2 linked regions of the Schizosaccharomyces pombe genome follow. Changing the gene in region 1 together with any one later gene gives a genetic interaction. Each region holds a gene or a part of one and is shown on either strand. Other genes may lie near its edges.

Region 1 (10,793 bases):
ATTGGCAAGGTAAGGCAAGGCAAGGATTACGTCGAAATGTAGCTTGCTTACGAAGGTTTTTTGATAAAGAAAAAGAATGCATATGCATGATTCTTGGTCATATGAATGTGACACATCCGTCCATTCCATTCGTCGTTTTGTATGTCAAGTTACTTGCACATTGCCAATTCTCATCGTCGATCAACGCATTTCTACGTAAGTGATTCCGTTTAAAAATCAATGATTTCTCTTATCTATGAAATCACAGACTTTGTAAGACAGAGTTGAACGAGGCGAAATCGGCGGCAAAATAATATAGGAAGATTTATGGAAAAAAGGCTTTGTAAAAAATACAAGAAAAAAAAAAAAAAGGGATGCATTTAAAAAATAAATTCTAAATTTTTTAAATAAAATAAAATAAAATATGCACCAGAACCAAAAGTTAACAAAGACTACTGAATTGATGGGTACTAAAAAGAATGTCCCCTTTCTTACATTACCTATCGAGTCGGGGGAACTCGTCAAATCGGTGTGCTAAAAGCTATTTTGTATGTGTAGATCTGTATGTTGGCGATTTCTTTGAAACTTGCTCATAATGACGCTATGTGTGGTAGTTGACTATCTATCATATCTTAATGTTGGGCTTCATCTGATTAATCTGTACGAGAGCATGATGGCATTTCTTCAAGGCAAGACAAAATAGGATGATGATGATGATAGTAAAAAAGGAATTTTTTAGAAGGTTCACTTTATTCCTATTCCTATTCCTCTTTTTTTCCTTCAATTAGTTACAAAATATCATAAAAAAATTTACAGATTTTATTTATTATTATTAATTATTATTATTATATTTTTCTTTTTTTTTTACCTTGTTTTCCCTCCCCACGTCTCTCCTTCCCGCACATATATATCTATTTATACTTTTCCAGAACGAGACCACAATAACGTAATGCAGTGAAGGACAGGGTGGTACTTCCACCAAGAAAAAACGAGTTTGCCGAGAAGATTCACCTTCCCAACGCTTTGCGCAAAGCTTCCCTGTAGCTGGAATAGGGTAAACGGCAAAGAGAAACCCAGCAGAGGGGACCAACCAGAGAGGAATGAAAATTTTCAGGAGAGGTAGAAGGAGAAGGAGAAGCAGGGCGAGAAGGTGTTAAGTTTAAGTATATGCAAGAGTTGAATAAGAGGTGAACAGAGATGAGCAATAGTGAAGGGCATAGTAATACGGTGTGTTTGGGTTACGAGGAAGAAATGGATGAGAAGGAAATCTATTAAAATTTATTGAATTGATTTTATTTTATTACATTGGAGTTTCTTTTAGAATTTTTATGTTTCATTACAGTACGCCTTTTTTTTTTCTCTATGCTTTTGCTTATTTTTCTTTTCTTTTTTTTCAAGTTTTATTTCCTATATACTTATTCTAATTTATTGGATTTTTTTTTTATTAATTTATTTATTTATTTATTTTCTATTATTTTATATTATTTTTTATTTGAATTTTTCTGCCCCCGCCCCGAAACACGGCAGCTGTAACATACTTCCCGCAAATGCAATACAATGCAATGCTTGATCGTTCCGTAAGTCTGACGAAAAGATGGTCAAGCTTATTGACGAGTCGATGGATGGTTGCGATAAGACTAGCTATGCCGGGGAAAAAGGCCGCGCCTTTATACAATCATGCAAACAATCAATGGTCGACAGAACGATTAAATCAATAAAGTTTGAATGAGTTAATAAAGTCGATTCAGTCAAAAATTCAAAAAAAAAATATCAAACAGTCTAGTCTAATCAAATCAAATAATCAAGTTATCAACTAATTCAAAAAATCAAATACTTTAAGTAAATTAATTGTTTGACTGAATCGATTATAGAATCAATCACCAATCGAATAGATAGATATGGTTAGCTACAATGTGCTAACTAAACTGTTTTTTATTTTCTCCGGAGGTTTGGTTTTTTTTTTTTTTGAATTTTTTTTAAATCATTTCAATTACTATCCTACCAAACTTTTGTATTACATTACATTCTATTTCATTAAAAATCATCCTTCTCTTTTTCTTTTATTTAATTTTTTTTTGTCCACAGCATCTTTTTCCTATTCTTTTCCCTCAAAGTCTCATTTAACTTTTTACTCAAAAGGTGCTCCCTCTGTCTTTTTTCTATCTCTCAAATCTTCCCCATGTCCCGGGTACTGCTCCTCTACTCTACTCTACTCTACCTCTAACTTGCTCCCTTCCCTCCCCTCCCCCCTCCATGCTCCTCCTCCACTCGGCTCACGTTTGCTTCACGTTTTTTTTTACCGTAGATCAAACGCATCGGCGTATCCTTCTTTTACGCCCCGCTATTCTTTTTTCCCTTCTTTCACTTTACGATGAGCTTCTCGCTATCTTTCTTACGGTGCTTTCTTCGCCTTGCTCCTTCACGTGCGATGATGAAATGGATGCGACATTCTATTAACATCGGCATCGGCGATGGCCAGCTAGACTTTTCGTCGCGTCGACATGCAGAGGTTTGATAAATAAATGTGCGTGCGTGCGCATGGCATATTTCTTTCGATTTTATTTTCGTCAAAATCATCATGCGATGAATGCCACTGATTTTTCTTTGCTCGAATACTCTGGCTCCTCGTCATTTTCTTCATCGCAACATCATCGTGCGAATTTCGCATGCATGGCGCTCTCGGCTTGTAAATCCCTATGCTTGGGAAAACGTAAGGGTTGGAAGCGATGATATAGTACCAAGTCACACGTCAAGCTGAGACCGATATACGTTCCAAGCTTGAGCCTATGACATGGTACTTCCGTCTTTATTCTCGTGGTATATATAGATCGCATTCACTAGCCTTACTTTAGCCGTCGCAAATTGTGTGACTTTGTTTTGCCCTTGTTTAAGTAAGTAAGAAAAAATAAACGAGCTTGTCTTGTGAAATATCAAGCCTACCTCTCTCTCTCTCTCTCTCTGTGCTTCCCTGCTACTCTACTCCTAATACTACTACTACTACCACGTTTGTTAGTTGTAGTTTTTTTTGGTTGGATTGCTATTTTGAAAAAGACCTCGTTCGTCGCTTCTTTTTATATTTTTAATTTCTTTTCGTGTCGGTGCGTGTGGAAAACCTAGTTGATTCTACCTTACCTTAATAAAACACTATCGCCTCTTTTTTTGTATATCTATAAATCTATACAATGGTTCAAGCTCTTACTGCTTCTTTAATGGCCGGCGCTCTCTTGGCGCGCGGTATCATCGGTGCTAAGGCCGATCCAGTTAACTTTGCTGGTATTGGCGGTGCCGCTTACGAATACAACTACACTGCTACTGGTTCCTTTAATCAATCTATCATGCCTGCTAACTTTACTCCTGCTGGCGGCATCGATACTAATGATAGCAGCCCTACTTATCACCCTTTCAGTGACTTTGACTACCAGTCCTTGTCTCTCGCTCTATACCACGAGTACATCGAGTACGACCTCTTCAACTACGGTCTCACTAAATTCTCTGATGCCGAGTTTGACGAGGCCGGCATTGACGCCGAGTACCGTCACTTGATTCGCTTCATGGCCCAACAAGAAATCGGCCACATCGAGCTTGTCACCAACATGCTTGGCCCCAACGCCCCCAAGGCTTGCTCTTACCAGTACAACTTTGACACTGTGGGCTCCTTCATTGACTTTGCTCAAACCCTTACTAAGTGGAGTGAATCCGGTGTCTATGGTTTCCTTCCCCACCTTGACTCTCGCGCAGCAGCTGCTCTTTTGCTTCAATCCATCACCACTGAAGCTCGTCAACAAATGTCTCTCCGTCAATTACAAGGTCTCTTCCCTTACCCCGTCTGGTTTGAAACTGGCATTCCTCAATCCTTTGCTTGGTCCTTGATTGCCCCTTTCATTGTTGGCTGCCCTGCCGAAAACGAAAAGTTGGTTTGGCAAAACTTCCCTGCCTTACATTTGGTTAGCCCTCCTGTTCACACTAATTTCACCAACGGCTCTTTCCCTCAGTACCCTAACGGTACCTACATGTATCCCGCCGCTGTCTCCACCAACCGTACCTTCCCTCTCTCTCTTCCCGGACAAAGCGTCGAATTGGCTTGGGATGCTCCCGGTATGGCTGTCGGTCCTAACAGCTCCTACATCACTTCCACCTCTGCCGGAACTCCTCGTTATGCTGCTTGGATTTCCCAATTGAACGTTACTTACGCTCCCTTAAACATCACCGGCAACAACAGCGGTGTTACCTACCAACCCAGCTCTCACCTTTACAACGACTCTACCCAGCAAGTCATTAACGGTACCAACTTCTTGGTTCTCGTTGACGAAGCTATCCCCGTCACTCCCTTCAACATCACTGCCATCAACGAGCACGTTGTTGCTGGTCCTCTTGTTTACGAGTCCGGATAAGCGTCTCTATCAAGGCAAACTCCCTTAGTTGCACATGTACACATCATGTAGATGATTGACTCAGTTGATTGAGCTCGTTTGTATATGTGGCTAGGTTGGAGCCTTAATAATTAGACTCGCCTTACCATGGATTTATTTCATCAAAAATCATACTCGTTCACGATTCTATCTATTGGCCTGTCTTCTTTTGGTTTGGATATGTGACCAACATACAAAAAGTTTGGTACGTCTAATCCAGCTTTGACCAACAGTCTTATGATTTTTTTATGACTTTTAAACCCCTGGAAGCCGTCGGCTACTAGGAAACCTTTAAACATAAAGGGGGAATTCCTCCTTTTAATATTTATTCTCTTTTCGGTGAATCCAACATTCCATTATTTATTCGTAGTCTTTTGTATTTGATTGATTGTAGTGCGTATAAGTCGGCGTGGCAGTAAATGAGCTTAGTAAGAAGTGAAGTATGTAAAGTAATAGCTAAGTAGTAAACAAATTTCGAAAACTTGGTAAAATTTGTTGTAGCGTAAGTCAATGAACGGAGTAAGCAGTGTCTTGGTACATATATATATCTGACGCGATGGTGTACGCAAAAGATGGTGGAGGAGTGGCTGGTTGATGAGGAGGCTGGTCCAAAACTCGCAGAGTTGATTTCGTCATTCAATTGCAAAGGGAGCATTGTAACTTTCATGTTTGAATCAATTGCATGTAATTTAAAAAAAAATATAAGAGACGGTTGTGATTGGAATGTTTTTGTAAAAATTCCAATTTGCTCGTTTCAATTTTCAATACAGTGAAAGTTGAAAAACGTTAAAGTATCTTAAAATGGTCTCACTACCACGTCCACAGCTTTTGCATCAAAGTTTCCTTTTCTAATGAGCATATATATACAGTCAATAAATAATATTACATTAGTACATCACTTTTTCGATGTAAATAAAAATACCGTCTAAACAAAGAATTTCGTAAGTGAATATTATCGTTATAGCTTTTCGTTATATGTTACTATCGAGGAGCTCGACTACCGCGACGGATACTAGCCAAATACTGATATCCTACACTTCAATGGAAGCTATTTAGAATGTCTTTTGGAAGATGGGCCGCTTCCATTGGATTGGAAATACATTTACAACTTGCAACAGTGAAAAAGCTGTTTTCTCCAGCAAAGGTTAACCCTCTTGCACAGCCTAATACTTGTGTTGCGTATTTCGATGTGTCACTACCAGGCTCTATGCCGGTGAGTTTTTTTAGAATCGAATGCGTTTCAATTATCACAGCTTATTAACTTTTTATTTTTTTATAGATTTTGAATCCTGAAGCGTTAAAGTTTGCAGTGAAAGGAGCATTGGCACTGAATTGTGAGGTAGCGAATGTTTGCAAATTCGACAGAAAGCATTACTTTTATCCAGACTTACCTGCGGGATATCAGATTACGCAGAAAGAAATTCCTATAGGAAGAAATGGATTTATACCATTGTCGGCTGGTTTGGACAATGTTCCAGATACTCAAATCCCCATACAACATATTCAACTAGAACAGGTAAGAAACATTGTCAAAACAACTTTCCATATACTGGATTTGAAAAGTATTTTAACAAACTTATATTTAGGATACTGCAAAATCGACGTCTGCTAAAAATCCATCGCGAATCTTACTGGATTATAATCGAGCAGGAACTCCGTTATTGGAAATCGTCACTAAACCTTGCTTTCATGATGTCAATACTGTTTCTGCATTCTTGTTTAAATTGCAATCCATCGTTCGCTTCGCTGGAATATCTGAGGCGTTGATGGAAAATGGAGGGATGAGATGTGATGTTAATGTCTCAATCGCGCCAGTCATCTCTTCAGAAAATCTAAATGAACTTCATTTTAAAAACAACGGAGTGATATCAGTAGAGAAATCCATATCCCATTTCCCCCAATTAGGTACTCAGTTGGCTCGTGTTGAATTAAAAAATTTGTCAAATGTACGAAATGTAGTAAATTCAATTCGCCATGAAGTGGACCGACAAGTCTCTTTGGCAAATATGGGTGTTTCTTGGCCCTCAGAAACGAGGGGATTCGACGATATCACTGGTAAAACATTTCCTCTTCGTAATAAGACAACCTCCGACGATTATCTATTTCTTCCTGAAACCGATATCCCCCCAATCATACTTTCTCGGAGTTATGTGAATTCTGTCTTAAAATCATTACCTGCTCTGCCTGACGAACTTTTCCAAAAGCTTACAACGGGTTCTCATGCCATTAGTCATAAAGAGGCCCGTACATTATTAAGTGTGAAGGAATACTATCACTACTACAGAAATGCGTACCACCATATCGATTCTATAAGCCATGTAAATCAATCTTTGAAAGAGGATGCTTTACGTACCCTTCCATACTGGATCACTGTGGAACTAGTAGGAAAAGTTCGTGAAATTGACCCTTCCCCTAACATCAATATCGTTCCTCCTTTGCAATTGGCTGACATTGTACTTCTTGTTTCCAAGAAGAAACTTACAGCTGCATCTGCTAAACTCTTCCTTCGTTCATTGATAAAATCACCTTCATCGAAACCTATATCTACTCTCATCCAAGAAAAAAATTTTGGTACCATTGGCGATTCCGAGAAAATAAAAGCTTGTGTAGAAAGTGTTCTTAGTAAACATTCAAAACAATTTGAAGAGTTGAAAAATGGTAAAACTTCCCTTATAAAGTGGTTTGTTGGCCTTACGATGAGAGAGCTTCGAGGACAAGCAAGTCCCAAAGACATTGAGATGGAAGTGCAAAGCAGTTTACGAAGGGAAAAGTAATCAAATTGGTTTGTATATTAGTGGCCCTAGTTTTTTTAATTACTGCATATTTCAAATCATTAGACAATGAAAGGAAACTCGTTAAAATTCATAGTCCATTTACTTTAATTTCAAAGTTTTATTTTGCTGAGTTAATTGCCTGTATTACTTGCAACAGAAACCCACAGTTAAAAAAATTCAATCTAATGTAACCCATGTTATTTATTCCAAAATTTTAATATTTACCTAAACACGTGTAAAGAAATTTGATAAACTTGATTTAATAGGTAATCAATTTTCCAAGAGAAAATAGAATGCAAACTCTTTAAAGAATTGTATCGCTTGCATCATAAGTATCATTCATAATACGATAAAGGTAGGAAGGAGGATAGCCACCCAAATTGGTAATAAACAGATCTACTAGGTCTGGTGGGATGTAATCATAGTAAGGGTTTAAAATTTCAGCGCGGCTTATTAGATCACCTTCATTAAAGGACATAATTTTATCAGGTGAAGACAGTTGGATAATGGATTCTAAGTCATAAGGGTAAACAGGGCTAAGCTTATAAATACCCGAACACACCACTACGGGAGTAGCATGGTGCCTGGCAGCCTGAGCAACTAATTGGGCTCCACTATAGGTTACCAATCCTCCGTTACCCAAGATTGCATGCGTACCAAGTATAACTTTATTCACGCGTGACATGATTGCAAAAATCGTAGCATCAGATATAACAGTTGTATCAATACCAGCCTGAGCTAATCGCTTTGCCATGGCATGAGAACCTTTTTGGTTATTGGGAAATCCTTCTGCAACAATCACTGAAAATTTGCGTTTCTTTGCGGCAAAACGGAGAAAAGCTTCAACAGTTTTTGAGCAACCCTGAGTTAAAATAATTTCACTAAAAAGGTTAGCTAACTGATAAGATGTTTAGCATGACACCATACTTTGAATGCAAATGGTCCATTGATTGAACTTCAATATCAGTATTAATCTTGTCCAACTCATCGATTACATCTTGGATGCCAGATATGATCACAGCGCGCATATCCATGCCACCGGTGACCCTACTGTCACCGACGGTTTTACTATGTGTGGGAGACTCAAGAGTAGGACGACCTAATAAATTAAGCATAGAAGAGTACATCTGAACTGAAACAGGTTCGTGACTTTGAACCAATTTTTCGTTAGAGGGAATGTCTCTTTTTTGAGAAGGGCTAGAAGAGTTCGATGAAGAAACGATTAACTTCTCATTTTCATCAGCAGTCTTTAATAATTCTTGATATTCTTCGCGGATTAAGCGTAAAATTCTTCTAATAATATTTCCACAAGAAAATTCTTCACGGTTTAGCATGTAACACAATAAAAGAATATGATTCAAAATACATACCAGTAGGTTGAGCCTTGACAAGAGTAGATCCAACAGCACGGACTGTATCAATTAATTGATCAACTGTTGACCAGCGAGTTTGAGAAATCACTTGTCTCATTACCAGCGCCGTTTCAACGGCAACTGCAAAGGGGCCTTGTACCTTTCTTGACTTTAAGTCTGCTATCAAGCTACTTACAGCCGGATAGGTATGTTCAACATTAATAGTTGACATTTTCAGGCGATGGGAAACGACAAGTAGTGTTTACATGTTAATAACGAACAAATACGAACGCTGTAAAAATGTAATAACTTGTTTACAGTAATTAAAACATCGTTAAAGCATATACCGAAGTTGACGCCGCAATAAAGGAACGGGGATAGTGAACCAAAACAAAATGTAAGGTAAAATCAGTTGGTAAAGAGCCAGGCTTGCTTGGGAAAATTTGGGAAATGGATTTGTTAGTCTAAGCTTGATTCGGTGTGTAATCTATTGAAGATAAGGTAAAAATCTATATCTTATAAAATGTTAAAGCCCCTTTGCGTTGTCATCGGTACTACAGGAGCTGGTAAGTCGGATTTAGCAGTTCAGCTGGCGAAACGGTTTGGAAGCCAAGTCATTAATGCTGACTCGATGCAAATTTATCGGGGATTTGATACTATAACCAATAAAATTACTGTGGAAGAGCAAGAGAATGTTCATCATCGCTTGATGTCCTTCTTGAACTTTGACAAAGAATACAGTGTTCCCGAGTTTGAACGAGATGCCTCCCGCGTAATTGACGAGATTCACAGTCAAGGAAAGATACCTATTGTGGTTGGAGGGACTCATTATTATTTGCAGTCCCTTTTGTTTGAAGATACTACTTTGTCGGCTATTGATAAATTGACGAACGATTCATCACCTAGTAAGCCACCCCATCCGGACTCTCATATCTTGGATGATGATCCATCTGCTATGCTTTCGTATTTAAAAAAGATAGATCCCGTGATGGCTGAGCAATGGCATCCTCGGGATACTCGTAAAATTCGAAGAAGCCTAGAGATATATTTTCACACCGGTCGACCGCCATCTGAAATTTATTCTGAGCAAAAAATGAAGTCAAGTGGCTCTAAACTTCGATACAAATCTCTAATATTTTGGGCGTTCGCAGATTCTTTAGTCTTAATGCCGCGACTTGATAAACGTGTTGACAAAATGCTAAGCCATGGATTGGTTGATGAAATAAAAAGCATGAAGAGTCTTGCTGAAAGTGAAAAATTTTCTCCTGATTTCACCCGTGGGATTTGGCAATGTATTGGATTTAAAGAATTCATGCCATGGTTTGAAGCGCCTTCGGATATAGTCTTTAATGATTGTTTAGAACGAATGAAGGTTTCTACTAGACAGTATGCAAAATCTCAGAAGAAATGGATCCAAAGTCGATTCCTCCCGATGTGTTTGGCTCAACAAGATTTATCCCCTTCTTCAATTCTATTTTCCACCACAAACACTACGGACTTGAACAATTGGGAAGAGCAAGTTGAAAAGGCTTGTAGAGTATTTCAATATTTTTTTTATAATGGCGATGCCATTGCTCCATCTGCTGATGATCAGCACGCTTTCGAAAAAGCCAGAGATTATCTCTCCATAATGAACGGTCGCCAATCTCAGAAAAAGAAGTTCGTTTGCGAGGAATGTTTAGACAAGCGGGGTGATCCATTCACTGTAATAGGAGAAGATGCGTTCAATGTCCATATTAAAAGTAGGAAGCATAAAACCACGGTGCGACGTAAAAAAGAAAGAGCTGAGCGTCAAATTCGTTTAAAAAACATTGGAATTTTAAAATGAAGTCCATATTGTATTTATTATTATATTTTTGGTCATGTTCATAATATAAGTCATAAAAAGCTATGGAGAATGGTCATTATTGAAGTATTCAAGATGGATGCACAGTGTTTATTTATCCAGATTTAGAGCGTTAACTTGTAAGCTAATAGTGAAATTTATTATTATATACGCATGCTACGAACTAGTCTGAATAATCATGCTTGAAACCTTCAAGAATGGAGAGACGACAGAGGATTCCATAGCAAAGATTTTACTTCTTTAGATTAATACTACAAGGGTAATGCTCGTGAATTTTCAGTTTCTCTGTGACTAAGTTATAAACAATTTAACACTAGAATTAAGCTACGTTTAGGATTGTACATACCAAGATCGATTAGTGAAGCATTACGCAGCATTTTAGTGCCGGTCGACAAATACCATGTTAAAAAGGGTTTAAGGCGTAATAACGCAA
Region 2 (18,552 bases), 650 kb from region 1:
CAAATGAAAGTTTACTGTTGGTTAGATACCACAGCTTCCTTTCCACTTTTTTTTGCCAAACAAAATAGGCAGCAGTACAATATATAGCCATGCTAACAACCAATGCAAAAATGAAAATTACGATTCTATTAGTGACCTTTTGCATTGATGGTGCCTTTACACTAACGTTTCGAACAGCATTCATGCGAATTTTGGATTCCTCGCCAGTAAAAATAACCAAAGCGAACAATTCTGAAGTATTTCGCAAATTCGAGCCTCTGTAAAGAACATCGTTATTAGACAATGGTATTTCTCCTTGTATTGAGTCAAGTTTCATACTTCCATTAAAATTGTAAAGATCACCATTCGGGTCTTCAACAGTACACGTACCACTCAATCGTATTAAATCATTAATGTCTTTGCAAAGAGAGCGGAGCGTGGAGTTTACTAGTCTAGTTTTCAAGGATGTTTCACCATCAAGTGCAGCTGTTTCGATGTAAATAGCGCCATTAGGATTGGGACTCGACAAAGCTATTACGTCTGCTGGAAGAGTTTGATCACTTGTCAGTCGAATAATATCACCAACTCGAACATCTTTCCGATCACAGCTAGCCCAAAAAAAAGTAGGCTTATTTGCAGGTATGGAGCGAGTAGTAGTTAAAGTAGAGTTATACAAGGGGGGTTGCGGGTCAATGTTAGGTTTGACACTTAACGCCGGAGAAGAGGGGGAAGAGGGAGAGGGAGGAAGTTGAGGTGGATCTTCTGAGGTTCTTTCAGGTTCTCTTTCATCAGTTGATCGAATAGTACTCCTTGAAGCAGATTCTTGAGATCTACTTCTTCTCCACCGCCGACGACGAAAAAAAGATGAGTGCTCTTCAACAATAGGCGGATCTACATCAACGTGACGAAGAACTTGAGTTTGAATTCTATTTTCTACGCGGTCTTGGCGATATCGCCGATAATTATCAAACCCTTCACGAAGGATTGCAATTGAAATAAATATAAGTAGAGGGATGATTGTAGTGTAAGTACCGGTGGTTGACCAACCTGGAATCATTTGCATAATAGCAATCAGCAAAAAATAACAGTTGGCAGTTTTTGAAAATTGAGCAATGATCTGTAAAGGGACAAAATTGTATTTGTTGTACCGAGACGAAACAATGCTGTTTTGCATATAGGGCTTTCCTGTACGCTCATCAATTTGGGAGGAGTCATCGTAAGGGTTTATGATAATTATTCGACCATGACTCGACTTCAAATACCGTGTATCACGCGAAAACAAGTTGGATAAGAAATTGGAAATGAACTGCAAAGGATTTGGTATTGTAAACTCTTTATGCCGCGACTTTAAAAATTCCGGAGGAATTGGAGGACGCCCATTGAACACAGGTGATGCCTCACGAGGAGAAGTAGGCTCAATATCATCTAATGGGATTTCTTCCACAGGTCCCTCTAGGAAGGAAACATGTGCTTTCTTCTTTTTTCCCTTTCCTTTCGAGGTCTGCTCAGTTTTGGTAGATGGAGTTAACACTGAAACCATAGAATTAGCTGTCAGTTCTAATACCGACTTGAAAGATGATTTCAGTCTGCTATCTGATGGCGAATTAACATCGTGTGATTCGTCAACTTCAACAGAATCCAATTTTTTGCTGTCCCCATTTATATCAATTTCATCAAGCTCATTTTCATCAATTCCTAATGGAAGAGCGCTATCCTGAAATCGTACATGAATATCCTCTCTTCGTTCGTTAGTGCCATCATCTGCAGCGTTCCAATTAAATGCACCATCTTCTTCTCGATTAGTCGTTTCATTTAGAAAATTTGTTTCAAATCCATTGGAATCGCCTGCGATACCACTAGACTTCATAAGTGCATCTGAACAAATAATGTTGGTTGTTGCTAGATTCACACCAAATGGAAAATCAAACTATTATTTGATGGTAGCTTGCTGAACCACACGGGACATTGTGCTACGCCTTACAAAATGAGACTACACTAATAGCAGTTCATTAAAGTTAAGCTTAATGAACTCCACAGTAATGGCTTACGCTTGCTTAAGACTTTCTAAATAGTGTGTCAAGTCTCGCAATATGCAATGTAAACAATAAGTTACAGAGATTTTGATTAACTGTCAGTTACTTCAACTACTACCGTTTATATTTAAAAACTGACATTGTCAGAATTTTGTTAACTATCGACAAATATTATTAGATGTTAGTGTGAGAATTGGAGATTCTCAAAGCTAGCAAGTTGTCGTAAACAGCATCTATACAGTAAATATCTTAAAACAAAATTATACTATCCAGCTTGTAAGTGGTTAAACTAAGCAAGTCTTTCTGTAAGCACAAGGTTTTTAATTCGTGAAATTGATTAGGTAAAATTATGTTTCTGATGCGAATTCGGTTTTTTGTGAGTGAGCCAGTACACATAAACTAAAATCTAAAAAATCCGCTTGAACTTATCAAATAAGTTAAAAATTATTCCCATACTATAGTGTAAAAACAACGGTATAAGTTATTTTTTGACAGGTAAGTGTATTGCTAAAAATAAATATAGTATCCTTTAGAACAAATTAAACTATATCTATAAAAAAGTTTAAACATCATTGGGTTTTCATTCAAAGCTGTGCTTCTCTATTTTTCTTTCCCTTCCTTTTTTCGGGAAGAAACAATGTAGTTGAATATTAATATTAACAATACTTTACTTGTTCGAAATAATATCTCAACAATAATCAAGTGTAATCACATGAGTGTATAGCATGTTGAAAATGCTTCGACAGTATGAGGGAAAGTAATTCATGTAAATGTGCATTATGACTGTGCCGAATGTGTTAAAAGCTCCCGCTAAAAGAAGGATACTTCTCTCACTAATTTATTTCTATTCATAAACTACTAGTTCTGGTCTTCATAAGCCAAGAGAAAATATCCATTGGTTAGTAAGGAAGAGTTTACTTAAAACGAGCTTGCCAATGGCACTTGTATTTTCTGCTTCCTTAACCCCTTCCATAAAAGTTTTCCAGAATTCCAAAAACTGGGCAATATGGTTTTCCGCAGATCCAATGGTTGGGAATTCCTTTTCTATTATTTCATAAGCCTTCTGGATGTTTTCCTGTTGAGAACTGGCTTCTTGCTCTTTTGAAATGATTTCAAAAAAGCGCTTGACAACAAAACCTGAGACAAGGCTACCATTTATGTTTTGAAAAGGTAAGCTAAATTGGTTAGAAACTTTAAATATAAACAAAAAAGGAGAAAGAGAAAAAAACACGTACGTTTTTCGGATAAGTTTAGGATCTATTTTGCTTTTGTCGACGTTTCTGTTCAAGATGACCGAGGCAAGAATCATGGCCATGAGTTCCTTCAAGTTGGATCCGAAGCTAGTTTGTAGCTGATAAAACTGTAATAAATTCTCATCAACTATAGAAATTTTACTAACTTCAGGTCTCTGTTTTATTGGTAGAAATGTTGCAACCTTTGCCAAGAACTCTGTGGCAGAAGTTATGGATAAATCGGCGATGCTTGCACTTGAGGAGGAAAGTAAAGAGGGCTCTTTTAATTGTCTTAGTCTAAGAAGCTCGAATAAAACAACAACGGAAGTTTGGTTCTGTAAGTGACAATTTTCCAACGCTTTTAACAAGGGGCATCCCCAAGATGTTAATTGATGAGATGTTAAAACGAAAGATCTAATTTGCAAAAATCTGTAGCAAGAACTTAAGACGATTTCCGCAGTAGAAGACAGAGGATGCTTGGGAGGGTTTTTTATGCCAATATTACCTTCAGTGCAAAAGCTTTTCTTTACAAATACCGGATCGTTCAAAGCACGTAGTAGATCAAATAATACAACGGGTTCTTCCTTTAAAAAATTACTAGATAAATAACTCGGTAAGTTTTCTTCGTATATCATCCATGCTCTCGTATCATTATACAAAGGAGGATCATAGCTGTGCATTACCTTCAAAGAAGCTTGCTGATTATGGCCATGAAGGGAAACAATATCTCTGGCTTGGTAAAATCTGTTAAGCGGTTGGGTCAATAAATTTAGCCCCTGCGACCATATTTCTTCTAAATCGTCAACAAATCGCCGTTGATCCACAGCCGCTACAGCTGCTGCATTGTCGCGACCAGGATTTAAACCAGAATTAGCACCAGAAAATGTTCCTTGTGATGCTTTGTCACCAATATGTTGTTCAAGTATGGAAACAGGATCACTAAAACATCCAGATACTAAAGCACCTATCATTTTGCAAGGAATAAGACCGCGAGAAATGTAAAAATAAATCTCGTTGGGAAGACGGGTGCCAAAATATATATTTATGTCGTTAGGAACAGATTCTGTGGGAACTGGTGGTAAAGTGAGACCTTTTGTATCCATCACAATTCCAAACTTAGAGAAACAAACAGCCCTTTTGTACTGTTGAAGATAATCTTGAAAAATGGGCTGGGGAAAGATTTCAGCAAAATGAAGGACTGCACGATACGCAGAACCAAACATACGAACAAGCTCCATTGCGCTTTTAATTAGAAAAGTACCCTCAATCTGAGGAAATGTAGGAGAAATAGCAGTACCACACAATAAACAGGAATCGATGAACTGCTGCCATGAAAGGCCGTTCGTGTCTTGAAGAAGGGCATTTCCATCTAACCATGTGAATGAACTTTTAGCGGCCGAATTGATAGTTGTTTGAGTTGATGGGGATGAAGGGTCAGATGAGATTTTAACGTTAGAAGATGTGTTCATAGAAGTAATAAATTTTTTAACACCAAAAAGAAGCAGATCCGTGGAACCATAGATGGCATCGATGTAAGGTGAAGATGTGCCGTTTAGAAAATATGCTAATTGAGCCATAGCCAGATACGGGGCGACAAAATACTCCACATTACATTGATCTAAGTAAAACTTTACCTGGTCGCAAAGACGATCTAAATGATCTCGCTGATTGGTGTACAAAAGTGTTGGTTTACTTTCGCCGTAATTCGCAGGACCACTTGCGTCCATGCGGTACATATTACGCTGAATATTTGCATCATAAGGATCAAAAGCTTCGAAATCTGTCAATGCACTATGACTTTTTTGCTTTCCCGGCACTTCCAGCTGGCTGCTGGCTTCAAAGGTAAGAGGTATACCATTGAAAACAAAAATGGGTGTGATATTCTCAGTTCTCAACTGCTCAAGGAATTCCGAAATTCTGTGTTGTAGATATTCGGATTCACCATTTACTGCCAAACTTTGAAGTTCCTGTGGGGTAAAGGAATGAATAATTTGAGTCAAGTAAAAACTTGCGTCAATACCCAACTTACAGTTTTGAAAACTGCTCAAGCTAGATTTATGTTGATGCTTTTTGTCTATGATAAACAAATTCAATGAACGAACTAAAAAATTAGCAGATGAGTAGCAAGGTATTTTAACTTACTTGTCATTTTTTTTCTTTTTTTTAACTGAATTTACCAAACAGCAGTTTAAACCGTAAGGCGGTTTTTTTTTACTAAACCTTTAATAGATCCTTAAAAACAAACAGATTATTTTTATATGTAACGGATATATTCAGATTTTATTATGTTGTACTGAATAGAGGTGTCCGATCCGTTTATTAGAGTCAGCAGGAACGAGCAAATTAGTGAACACGAATACTACGATAAGAAGTTCAGAAAATATTTTATTAAACTAACATGATTTATCTAAAAAACATATAACTGTTGGCGAAATGTAAAGATTTCAAATAAAAACGACGCAAAATGAAGAAATTTATCCATTGTGACTACACAAAGCGGTAATGTTTCCAATCTTTAATTATAGAGAAAATAAGTATATTAATAACTAAATAAAAGGTAAGTTGATATACAAACGCAGCCAGATGCCTGAAATCCAAAAACAAATACGTACATATATTGAGATAACTGACGGATATATATTACAAAAGACAAAAACATGCCGATTGATCAAAAACAGCTTGAAAAGAAAAATCGACTTTTAAATGAAAGTAGAGTGGAAATAAGTAACGAGACAACGAATGTAAATAAAAATCGTTCTTAGATACAAACATCATTTCTTTACAATTTAACTGTTCACTTGATATACACCAAAGCCACTGGGGGTTTTTATGGTTTAGTACCAAAATTATTTATAAATAAAGAAACGTGCGTTTGAAAAAACAACTTAATCCTTTTGGAATTTCAAAAAGAGTTTATTGGTTTGCTCCACGAAGGTAAGACAGAAAATTGTGTGAGGAGCGATTCTGGCCAAGTGAGCACCAAAACCCTTATATAAGGCAAAGAATCCTTCAGAGCGGATTGTTTTAAGGATGCAATCAATCGGATTTTTATAAAGCTCCTTGTTCTTTTGGTTGTACATACGAGTCATAACAGTATCGAAAATTTGCATGGTGCAGCATACACCAAATCCAGAAACAGCACTAGCAGTTAAGTGTTTGATCATACCCTCTTCCAATAGATTGTAATGCTCAATCATGCGTTTAGCCCAATTATAGATAGGAAGCTGAACAGAGGAACCAGAGACAGTACGGAGAATGGCAGCATCAGCACCAACAAACAAACCCTTAACACCATTTTCCTTAATAATACGACTGAATGCATTAAATATATGCTTGTAACCATACTGCTGGCCAACGGGAAATTTAGGAGAATACGACTGCATGCGAGTCTTAACCAAGAAAAAGGGAGAGCCAAACAAGGCACCACATAAACCTGAACCGGCGCCACTTGCAACGTTAATAGCTAATTTATTACCCTTGGGATCATCAAGGAACCACGTATTCAGAGTACGTCGAATCGGTTCGTAAAACCCGAGACGACAGCCATTGAGGCAGATTTGATAAACATAAGCAGTACCAAGGCCTCGTTGAAGACCTCTTATACCTTCATGTCTAGCGATTAGAGAAAATGCCTGACCGACGCTTTTGTAAATTCGCTTAGAAGGATCCAATTTTGTCAATTGACCTTGAAGTTGAAAACGCGTTTTAATAACTTCGAAAGGATTTGTCAGTGTTACAGCACCACAAGCTGCAAGACCACCTGACAAAAATCCACTAACGGGACCAAGTTTTTTCACCTGAGTAGGATTGTGTGCAGGAAGGGCTTTGATAGTTTGTTTCTCAGACATGACTTAATATTGGGATTTTTTCTTCGAATTTAAACAAAAAAATCTGCCTCAAATGGCAATTCAATTTGCGTAGCAAGTGTTGGCCGAAGGAAAAAGAATTCTTGCAGTTGAGATTTTTTCAGTGATAATAGCCTTGATTAAATTGTGCGCGGAAAATTTACCATTGCGGCAATTTGGGAAGGCAAAACGTAACTTTCGTACGGACTCAAAAAATAAGCAAAATGATACTAATAAAAAAATTATAGATTGAATTGCAATTTTTTTATTTACAAGGCACCCTAATTGCTCTATACTTTTTCCATTTTAATGCTAAATTAAACAGGTCACATGTTACTTATGTTTACTATTTGAAAATACAGATACTAGAACGCACTTAACCTCTTTAAATTAAGGATTTACCTACAATCATATATATTTTTTTTTTCTTTCTCTGTCCTACAAATATTTGGTAGAATTTTAAAATTTTTTGAATAAAAGTCATTTGAAAGTTTGAGTAATGTTTGTCAACAATAAATGCGATCGTTCGAAGGAAGGAAGGTACACACAGTTAACATTTAACTGACTTTACACTTTAAAATAGGATTCGTTGGAAACGCATGGTAGATAATGTTAAAGTAAGACAAATGCAAAATCATAGTAGCAGTAGCTTTAGATGTCATTCACTTCTGCAATGTTGTACTATTATAAAGAAAATGCCATAAAGTGATTCAAATAAGTGCATGCTCTCAACCGTCTACCCTTAACCAAAGTTCTTACTCAGACAATTAAGATGCCTTTTAGTAAGATTTTATACATACGGGGTATAAATTGTGATCAATGAAAAAAATGCAAGTACTAAATTTGATGGATAGTTTGTCGCAAGGCAGGCAATTGAATTTTGAAATAGAAATCAGTCATATTTAAGAATGGTAATTTGTTAGTAAATGCATTAAATCCCTGTGTAAATTATATGTTTCTATTTGAGTGCTTTACGTATCTAACGCATGTTATCCGAAAGCTGTCTGCTGTTGAGATTGCTTACTATTGAAATTAGTGGATATTTATAAAAGTTGTCCAGTGTGCCTTGTGTTTGGTGTTACGAATTTACTTTTCGCCAACATCCAAACACAAGTGTCTTTGGTTCAAAATCAGTATAGCAATAAGATTTAAAGATATAATTCTTGCCTATTTAAAGCCAAGACTACTTTTTTATATATTACGGAATTAACTTCTTTTCGCTCCTGTCAATTGGTCGCAAGTATCATTTTTTTGACGTCTATTGATTCAAGAATTAGAAGAATCTAGCATTCAATTGTACTTTATCTTTCACAATATTATATAACTTGATGTTTAAGAAGAGCATATGAGTGAAACAACCAAGTCTGGTTCTAAAAAATCAGGGCAGACATCACGTAGGGCGATCCATTCGTGTTTGGCTTGTCGAAGAAAAAAACTTAAATGTGATCATGGAAGACCTTGTTCCAATTGCTTAAAGCGATCAACAATCCAGTCATGTATTTATATAGATCCTGGGAAAACTAATTATGACAAGCGCTTTGAACGGGGTAGCGAAGCTGACGAATTGATAGATCAGTTACTATCCCGAGTTAGCATGCTGGAAAAACGTTTAAATGAGGTCGGCACTAAATCGCAATCTGATTATGAAAACCAACAATCTCATAATCTTCCTTCCACGCCTTCGGCAGATGCTGAGACACAGCGAAACATTGGTTCTCTTTCAGTATTAGATGATACAAAATCACAATATGCTAACTACTCGTCCTCTTCACACGTACTCTGGCATTTAAGGAATTATCATTATCTTAACTTAGATCAAGATATTCAAGAAGAAAACGATTCTCTGATTAGTCCGTTTTTTTTTCGAATATCCCCCAATGAATCTGCATACGACTATTTACCCCCCAAAAAAGTATCGGATATTTTAATTGAGCAGTTCTTTTTTCGGTGTCATATGCTCATTAATGTTTTACACAGACCAACTTTTTATGTACGATATAATGATTTTTGGGAAAAACCGCACTTGCGAAAACCAGCTTTTACTAGTTTATTATACGCAATCTATGCTAGTGCATTACTAGCTACACCTGTTGAAGTGCAAAAGACATGGGCGCTTGGTGAAGACGAGAGATATCTTCAGGTAGATTATCATCAAGCTTTTCGCTACGCACTGGCTTCGTCTAATTTTCTGTTTGAACCAGATCTTAATGCTTTGCAAGCTCTTGTTCTTTGTCAGGTTTGTGATATTGAAATGGGTTTAACTAACTCAATTTAGGTTGTCTTTGATTCTGACCGCATTCGCGCTCCACCTTCCTTAGTCGGCTTGATTCTTCACGTAGCGCTATGCATGGGCCTTCACAGAGATGGCTCGCTTTATGGACTTAATCCGGTAATTTCCGAGATTAGACGTCGTGTGTGGGCGAATATAGTCTTGTCGGATCTTAGAACTTCTGAAACTATTGGTTATCCTCCTCAAATTGTTGAGGGAAATTATGATACACGTCTTCCCTCTGCTTTACCTGATGAAATTCATAATGTAGATTCTTCCGTTATTATTTCTGAGGCCACTTTTGTTAACATTATCACGAAGGTTTCACGAGCATATTCAAAGTGTTTGAAAGTTTTGCTAGGCATTATAGCTCCTAATTATACACGTTTATTAGAGCTTGACAGGGAGCTTTCCAATTTTTTTAAAGAATTGATAGAAGTGAATATTCCAACTAGTAATACTATGCACGAACGGCATATTCGACTTTTAGTTTCCTATTTGTCAAACAGATTCCCAATTCTCTTGCATTTTCCGTTCCTTTTAAAAAAAAATTCTGCACAATTCGCCTACAGTCATTCGCGTGCTTTGGAGTCCGCGACTCTGGCTTTAAACCAGCTGTACGAACTAGGCAGCAATCCAGAATACTCAAAGTATTCATGGTATCTTTGGAGATATCCGCCGTTTCATCCCTGCATCGTGCTTTTGCTCGATTTACTAAATTCTCAAAAAATCATTTATTTGGATGATGAACGAGTTGTTCTTTTAAACAAAATATTTTCTCTTTTTCCTCGCAGTTCTGGTAAAGAGCATTATCAAAAAGCCTGGGCACTTTTACAAACTTCAAGGGCAAAAGTTTGGGAAAAGCTTGGGTTGAGCACTGTCGACGTATCGACCACTGATGTGAGGCTTACAAATTTTGAATTTTTTGATGCTAACAATCTTGATATCAATTGGGTATGTATTATGTGTTTGTGTTTCCAGCTAACAACTGCTAGGATGATTGGGATGCTATATTTCAACATTGTCCATTCTAAAGCTTATTGCAAATGTCTATTTTTTATTATTTTATTTCGTCACATTACGCGCCAATTTTGTATTTAAAAATTTATTTATGCCAGTTCTTACAATTACAGAACAACTACGTCCGCTAAAGCGATAAGGTTAGTGAAATGTCAACTGGTCAGATTTAAAGAGTTATTTACGTTTGTTTGTTGTCTTATAATACGCTGTAGTTTATCTATCGAAAATAATAACATAATAAACAGATAGTTAAATATATAAATGCAGCAACAAAACTGTGAGTAAAACTATAGGATATAAAACAAAAAATTAAACTCACTTGTCGTAAGTAAACTCTGCATCCTTGTAATCTATCAAAGAGCGAACACATCTCCATTTCAGTTCTGAAGCTTTATCATCCTCTCTCCAACGCCATGCATCTTTCCATTCTTCAGATAAATCCCCTAAAATACGTTGTGCTATGTATCTGCCAATATTGGGAAGAAATTTGAAAGCATGTCCGCTATCTCCGTTTGCGACAAAAACGTTATCAAATTGAGGGACCTTGTCAATAAGGAAGTTTGCATCTTCGGTGTCAGAAATCCAACACATCTTCGTGTTTATCAGGCTGCGGTCTGCAAGATCAGGCAAAAAGGTGTCAAGGAAACGGCGCATTTGAATAATGGCATATTTTGGTAGACTACTTTTAGATGGTCCGGAATGAGGAATGGAAACAACTTTTGAGTTTTCGTCGTAGTCGGTCTCAACGTTACATACGTATTCATATCCGGTGCTGGCCAATTTTATGAGCTTTGTCACAGGATAAGGAGGGAAAGCATAAGCGCAATCTGGATCAAAAATAATAGGCATATTTTTGTAAGTCTTAAATTCTTCATCGGTTAGCTGAATATGCGCGACCGGTAAACCCTTAGCACAGACACGATGAGAAGTATTTAAATAAGCGTTCAAATAAGCACCAACAGCTAGTAAAATAGTATCAGCATGATATATAGTACCGTCCTCTGTTTGTACTGATACATGATTGTCGTTTTTATCAATATCAGTTTCGGAATGATTGACCACAAATTTTTTGAATTTACCGGCTTTACCAAAAACAAACTCAACTCCTAGCTCCCTAGCCTTTAACTCAAGTAATTTTAGAGAAGCAGCTGAATTCGCATAACCAGCGTGTTCATTTACGACAGCTTGCATGTCTGAGCGCAGCGGTGAATTAGAAAAAAGTGAAGGATATTTTTTTCTTATTTCTTCTGAACTGGAAAGATTAATAAGAGCAGAGTCTCCTAAAAGCTTTCTCAAGTTTCGTTGGGCTACCTCATCGAAACGAGCTCTGTATGGGTCTTTGGAAATGGTGCTTAAGCGGCCGCATTCGAAATAAACAGAGGACAATTCTGGGTCATTTCTCCATTTTTCCATTGCTTCCAACGCCAATTTCATATACTTAAGATCTGCATATTCTGGCCGAACAATCTTGTTGATATCGTTTGCTGCAGACATGCTGGAAGGAACGGGTTCGGCATCAATAGCAATGATATTATCAAAGGAATGATTTTTTGCCAATTCAACTGCAGTTGAAAGGCCAAAAACTCCACATCCAACTATGACAATGGTTCTCGACATGGCTCAGTGGGTACTTGATTATGGCTAACGGAATGAATAAGGGAGCCATCAACCTCGTGGTCTATGCAATGAACAATTTTAGCATCCAGGCTTCTCGCAATAAATTTATATCAATCAGTCACAATGAGAACAATATAGTGTTGCAAAGATATTGATTGATTGATTCATTAGCAAAAAAAGAAGCCTTCATTCAGCTAGATAACCATGTAGTAATCGGTTCCATTTGATTTTGTAAGAAAATGGTTAAGAAATTATCCTCAACATAGGGTAAGGTACATAACAAAGATCAAGCAATTCGACCAACAAAGGAAGCAGAGATGTCTCAGAAATTCTTCATTATTTGAATCTCCAATTTAATGCATTATTAACATAGGCACGTGCTATTCGTTTTAACAATTATTTAGGCACAACGGTATTGGTGTTGCTGGATTGAGCGCAAAGGATGCAAACGTAATGCTGTGCTGCGTTATATGTTCCAGCTGATAGTTTTAAAAGCCTAAGTTTCTTTATTCGACCTGCAAATGCCAAGTTGCGTTACTGTATTATAAATTTTGGACTGATTCAGCTCTGGCTTTATGTTGATCTGATAAACCGAATGAGCTAGCAGGATTGCAGCATTCATTATGCTGTTTCCTCGTCCTCACAGTTAATATTAACTATCTTCTTCCTTATTTGGCAAACCAGTAAGGCATCACAATAATCCGCTTTCCATAAACAGCGGCATATGAGTTGCAGAGCTTTGTTTACCAAATACTGTATCGTAACGAAGAGCAAGAATAGAGGGCTACGTAATAAAAAAATCGCCGCTGTGCTAATGCAATCGTTACGTTTCATTTAAAAGCATCAATCCATATCGTTATACTAAATCAATGTTTACAAAATTCGCAGAATGTTGCTAAATTGTAATGCAAACAAACTATTGTATTAGTAAAATATTATCTTTTTGTATGTCTGGTTCATGAAAATCTCTAGAAAAAAAAAGTAGTAAATTTTTCTTCCACCTTAATAACCTAACCTATGTGTCAATAATAACCCAAGTTAGTCTCGCATTATGATTTCAGTGTGACATAAATCGACTTTTGTCAGTTAAGTGATAGTTAAAAAATAATTAAGAAATTTATGAATTGTTGTTGCATGGAAAATTTTCTTGGCACACCAAACATATGAAAATTCGTTTAATGATTTAACTGCCGTCTGTCTGAGTTTAAGAAAATAATAAACCTTAGCAGAAACCAGAAGTAAGAAAAGAAGGTATGTAGCATAGAAGATTCACAGACATAAAGCCGATATAGCTTTGTATGACAATGAAAATTTAATGGCAGGATGAGAAATAGCAAAATAAATCAGGTTTGAGCTTTTTTCAATTGTTGCGCATGTCCAATTTTATTTTATTTTTTTTTGTCAAATTTTTAATTGATAAAATAAGATATCACCAAAAATAACGAGTATATATTGTCGATCTTCATTCTTCAAAAGTGATAAAACATTACAAAGATTTATTCAATGTTAATTTTGTAAGCATTTTCATGTTATGGGATTTTTAATCATTTACTTGTTTTTTATTCGATACTACAGATTAATGTTATTTGCATGGTAAATTGTATAGTATTACTTTAAGCGCCGATCAGTAATAAAGAAATTTTAAAGAAATTATCGATTCTTTCATATTCTTCCAAAAATTACGTGCCCATATCAATCGGACATGCTTCTTCCATTGCTGCACTGAAAAAAAAGCCATTGTGTATTCGTAAAGCAGTAAAAAATGGAAACATTGCGATTACAAAATTTTAAAACTATGTAAACAAACGGTGAATGCACTGTATAAGATCCATGCAGCATATACCAATTGAGTTTTTTATTTTTTTTTGGGTACTATATGATAATTGTCAACTTTAAAATAAAAGTTGGACACCATATGAATAAATGAATTTTTAAAATTAAATATGAAATAAAATATATGGAAAAAATACGAAAAAAATTGATGGTAAATAAATTAATTAAAATTAAATTAAATATGTAACTTACTATACTGATAACTTTAATAATCGTTAGAAAAGCAAGGAAAAATTAAGCACGGATACCACAAATGTTTAATTTTATTTTTTGATAAAAGTTTCAATACTATTTTAGTTATTTATTTCACTCCAATTATGTCGCTAAAAAAAAAAAAAAAAAAAAAAAAAAAAAAAAAGAAACCGCATTAATACAAAATACATTTTTTAATATGAAAAGCGAAGCGATTTTACCCACTGTTCTTTTCATACTCATTCACAGTAGCTGTAGCTTATATTACTGCCATTCAGTATAGTAAAGTCGGTACATATTCACATATGGTGGCACTCAATTATATGATGTAAAAAATGCAATTCCACCAAGTTCGCTATATACATCATTGAAGAAGACGGGAGCCGTAAGCTAACAAACCAGACACTATGATTTATAAGTTAGTCTGCCGATATTTACGCAAATTCAATACGCCTTTCTTTTTTTCCAGGGGAAATGTTTGCATACACCAAGAACATGATGTTGAGACGTAAATCTAGTACGGAAAACCAAGATGCATACGTTATGGTTTGATCATTAAATGTCTTGTTGAAAAATTATAAATATGCATCGTTTCTCTCGATGTTTACACTACATTAAAAAAAAGAAATCTGCAGCTTAATTTGAAAACACTAAAAAAACCTGCATTCTTCTTTTTTCCACGAAAGATCTGTTGCTGCTTACGCTATTATTTGTTATTATTATAAATAATAATAACATTTCTATCGATAACTTCGTTTCATATAGTTTTTAACATTTACTCCTTCCCACTTTTTTGTATAATACTCTTCAAAAATGGCCCCTCAATTCAAACGCCCTGAGCTCTTTGGCTTTGATAAGTCTCATGCTCAATCTTTTGTTCAAGGAAAATGGATTTCTTCTCCTAACAACAAAACTTTTGAGGTTGATAACCCAGCTACTGGTGAAATAATCGGTAAAGTGGCCGATGTCTCAGTAGAGGAAACAAAAAAAGCCATCAGTGCCGCTAACGAGGCCTTCAAAACTTATAAAAATTTTACTCATGTCCAACGTAGTCAGTTATTGGAACGCTGGGCAGAGCTTATTATGGAGAACAAAGACGACTTGGTCAAGATGCTTACCTTAGAAAACGGCAAGCCTTTGAGCCAAGCTGAGATGGAGGTCACCACATGTAGCGGATATCTTAAATGGTATGCTGCTGAAGCCGTTCGTACCTTTGGCGATGTAGCTCCTTCCAGCTTACAAAGTCAAAACTTTCTCATCTCCATCAAACAGCCAGTTGGTGTCAGTGCCTTGATTACTCCTTGGAACTTCCCCGCCGCCATGATTGCTCGTAAAGGTGGTGCCGCTTTGGCTGCTGGTTGTACCGCTATTTTCTTGCCTGCTTTCCGCACTCCCTACGTTTGCTTAGGTTTAGTCAGGTTGGCGCAAGAGGCCGGTTTCCCTGACGGTGTCTTAAATGTGATCACTTCTTCTGATGCATCTGCTCATGGTAAAGAACTGACTACCAACCCTATCGTTCGTAAGGTTTCCTTCACTGGTAGTACTAATGTCGGTAAAATTCTTATGGGACAAAGTGCCAGCACAATCAAGAAGGTTTCAATGGAGTTAGGAGGTAATGCCCCTTTCATTGTATTCCCTGACTTCCCCATTGATCAGGCTGTCGAATCTTTCTGCACTATCAAGTTTAACTCTTGTGGTCAAGTTTGTGTCTGCCCTAACAGAGTTTACGTTCACAAGAATGTTTACGACGAATTCGTCAGCAAGCTTACCGAAAAAGTCAAGACCATTAAAGTAGGAGATGGATTTGACTCTTCTTCTGCTGTTGGCCCTTTGATTTCTCAAGATGGATGCAAAAAGGTCAGCAAGCACATTGAAGATGCTGTTTCAAAGGGTGCCAAAATCACTGTTGGTGGAAAGGAGATTTCCTCAAGCAAAGGTTATTTTTTTGAACCAACCGTGCTCTCCGGTGTAACTCAAGACATGTTGGTTGCTAGCGAGGAAACATTCGGCCCACTCGCCTCTGTCTTCAAGTTCGACGACACCGAAGAGGTGATCGAATGGGCTAACGACAGTGATGTTGGCTTGGCCGGTTACGTCTTTACCAATAACTTGTCCACAATGATCCACGTTGCCAAAGAACTAGAGGTGGGTCTTGTAGGTGCCAATATCGAAATGGTTGACGAACCATTTATTTCCTTTGGCGGCATCAAACAGAGCGGTTTTGGCAAGGAAGCCGGTCGTTTGGGCGTTCAAGAATTTATGGTGGTTAAGGAAATCAATCTCAAGACTCTTTAAGGATTTTCGCTTTAGAAAGCTGCATATTATTGAACAAGCAATGATGTCCTCTTTTGGTTAATGACTAAAAAATCCTGATGTTATGACTGTTTTACATGTTTGCGATACAAATCGTATTTTAGTTTAATGATATCAAAAAAATTTAATACCTGAACATCGTGGGTCATCGATGAAGAATGGATTGTTGTGTCAGAAAATCTATACTTGTAGTTATTGTTCTGAGCAATCTGAAAAGTTATAAAGAATTGTAGGTTCTAAAATTGGCAATACTGGAGCTAGAAATCTATATAATAGTAAATATTTTTTAATAATAACAGGTGTAGCACGTGAAATTTTGCGTCGCCTTGTAGTTTGTTACTTCCAACTAGACACATGTATTTTTTGTTGTTTGACTTGAAATAGGGTCAGGTATTCAATTTTCCGTATGCAGTGATGAGTGCTGTTGATGAATGGGTACATAATGCCAATGAATGCATAGAAATTGTACAAGGTATGCTATGTTAAATTATAATGTTTTTACCTTGTGTTAACACCTGTCAGTAAACGAAAAGCATGAAAAAGATTGTCAATACCATCCTAGCAATACATATGCAATATTTGGAGATGCTGAGGTTATTTATGGATATAAAGATCTAAATGTCACTGTAAGATTAAATCAGCAAGTTTTAGTCATGAAATTTGATTGCAAATAGTAACAGTTATTAGATAACCTATGAATGCCCATTGATGGTCCCAAAACTGGAAATCTCATATTCAGAGCGCCTAGCACCAGATTCAGGAGTGGAACCAACTGATATTGAAGGAACATTAAACACTTATCTAAAAGATCGTTCCATTAAGGTTGAAGGAAACTCATTTGACGTTCATTCGGCAAATAGTATTCATAACTATTCCTTTAATGGAAAAACATTCAAGATTTTACAAGTATGTTCGATTACCTTTCAATTGGAGAAGTATTCAATTATTGAATATCCCTATATGTTCTTTGGCTAATAATCGTAATGTATTAATAGGCAACGGTTCTTGAAGCTAGTGAGATTATGCAGCATTTGCAAATATTTTCCTTATTTTTTATTGAAGGGGGCTCTTTTATTGACCTTAATGATCCAAGATGGATGGTATATTTACTGTAAGTTTGTTATTTTCTACGCGTCTACTTTCCTTTTACCTTTTTATCGAGGTTTTATTAACAAAAATAAGTTACGAGACTACTGAAGATGATTATTGCTTACGTGGTTATTGTACTGTATACAAATATTATAAATGGGACAAATTAATTCACGATGGTATTCGAGCTCGTATCTCACAATTCGTGATTTTACCCCCTTTTCAACATCAAGGACACGGTTCGCAATTGTACAATGCTATTGTTAGTACCTTTTTGAAAAATCCTAAAATTTTAGACTTCACAGTTGAGGATGCATCGGAAGCGTTTGATAGCCTTAGAGACCATTGCGACTATAAAAGATTATTATCAATGGGAATATTTTCAGAACCTGACTTTCATCCCTCTCTTTCTAGGCAGTGGATAAACTCGAAAATAGCTGAAACAAAGTTAACCCAGGTTCGTAATTTGCTAAATTTACCATGCAATGCAACTTACTAATTGTCTTTTTTTAGCGTCAATTCTCACGCTGTTGTGAATTAGCATTTACAACGAAACTAAAAAAGCTTTCATTATTGGAGCGGAAATCTGTTAGACTAGGAATAAAGGAAAGGATTTTTCGTCAAAATCTTGATGTGTTGCTACAGTTGGATAAGTCCGAACGTATTGAAAAAATTCATAACGCCTATGAAAATCAGTTTGATGAGTATAAACAGATTGTCAAAAAGCTACCCAAGCTTAAGGAAGATTCGCCTCGAAAACGCCAAAAACTTGCTCAATCTTCTTCCTAAATGAAAACACTTTTAGAGATCTGAAATACTTTGAGAATATTGAAGGCATATTAGCATAAAAAGTTATGAGAATCGACTAAATTACACTATTGGACGCAATTACTTTTTATATAATTTGCTTTTGAAAGCTTTCGCTTGAAATGATTAAAGACATTTGAAACAGTGATCATTTTAATAATATAAATTTTGTATATATTTTGCAAATTTAGTGTGATATCTAGTTTAATAAAATCTATAAAGGCACCTTATAAAAATTCAAACAATTCCTCATAATGAACTGCTTTTTCCAAAATTTAAATATTTTAATATCTACTATCAATAATATTGGTTATTTTCAACGA

What was found.
Region 2: of rds1 (region 1) and toe2, changing one suppresses a phenotype caused by changing the other (phenotypic suppression), as found in Schizosaccharomyces pombe (one study listed by BioGRID).

Annotation. Positions count from the first base shown.
Region 1 is NC_003424.3:1,664,910-1,675,702, forward strand, and holds rds1 (protein rds1), read left to right. Parts: upstream 1-2,829; 5' UTR 2,830-3,161; coding exon 3,162-4,370; 3' UTR 4,371-4,713; downstream 4,714-10,793. Other genes in the region: SPOM_SPAC343.21 (uncharacterized protein), read left to right, coding at 1,878-2,354; SPOM_SPAC343.20 (uncharacterized protein), read right to left, coding at 4,714-5,055; glutamyl-tRNA amidotransferase beta subunit Gta2, read left to right, coding at 5,446-5,601, 5,668-5,904, 5,975-7,162; tif222 (translation initiation factor eIF2B beta subunit), read right to left, coding at 7,467-8,043, 8,090-8,480, 8,533-8,746; tit1 (tRNA isopentenyltransferase), read left to right, coding at 9,038-10,342. UniProt on the Schizosaccharomyces pombe protein: May have a function in stress-related responses of the cell.
Region 2 is NC_003424.3:1,013,483-1,032,034, forward strand, and holds toe2 (protein toe2), read left to right. Parts: upstream 1-8,187; 5' UTR 8,188-8,434; coding exon 8,435-9,325; exon of another isoform or gene 9,326-9,364; coding exon 9,365-10,312; intron 10,313-10,353; coding exon 10,354-10,392; 3' UTR 10,393-10,653; downstream 10,654-18,552. Other genes in the region: dnf1 (P-type ATPase), read right to left, coding at 1-1,846; post-transcriptional RNA stability regulator Mkt1, read right to left, coding at 2,884-3,187, 3,248-5,345, 5,387-5,393; oac1 (anion transporter), read right to left, coding at 6,130-7,092; fap2 (L-saccharopine oxidase), read right to left, coding at 10,694-11,995; ssd2 (succinate-semialdehyde dehydrogenase), read left to right, coding at 14,834-16,315; histone acetyltransferase Hat1, read left to right, coding at 16,748-16,805, 16,856-16,959, 17,021-17,239, 17,329-17,444, 17,516-17,879, 17,936-18,211.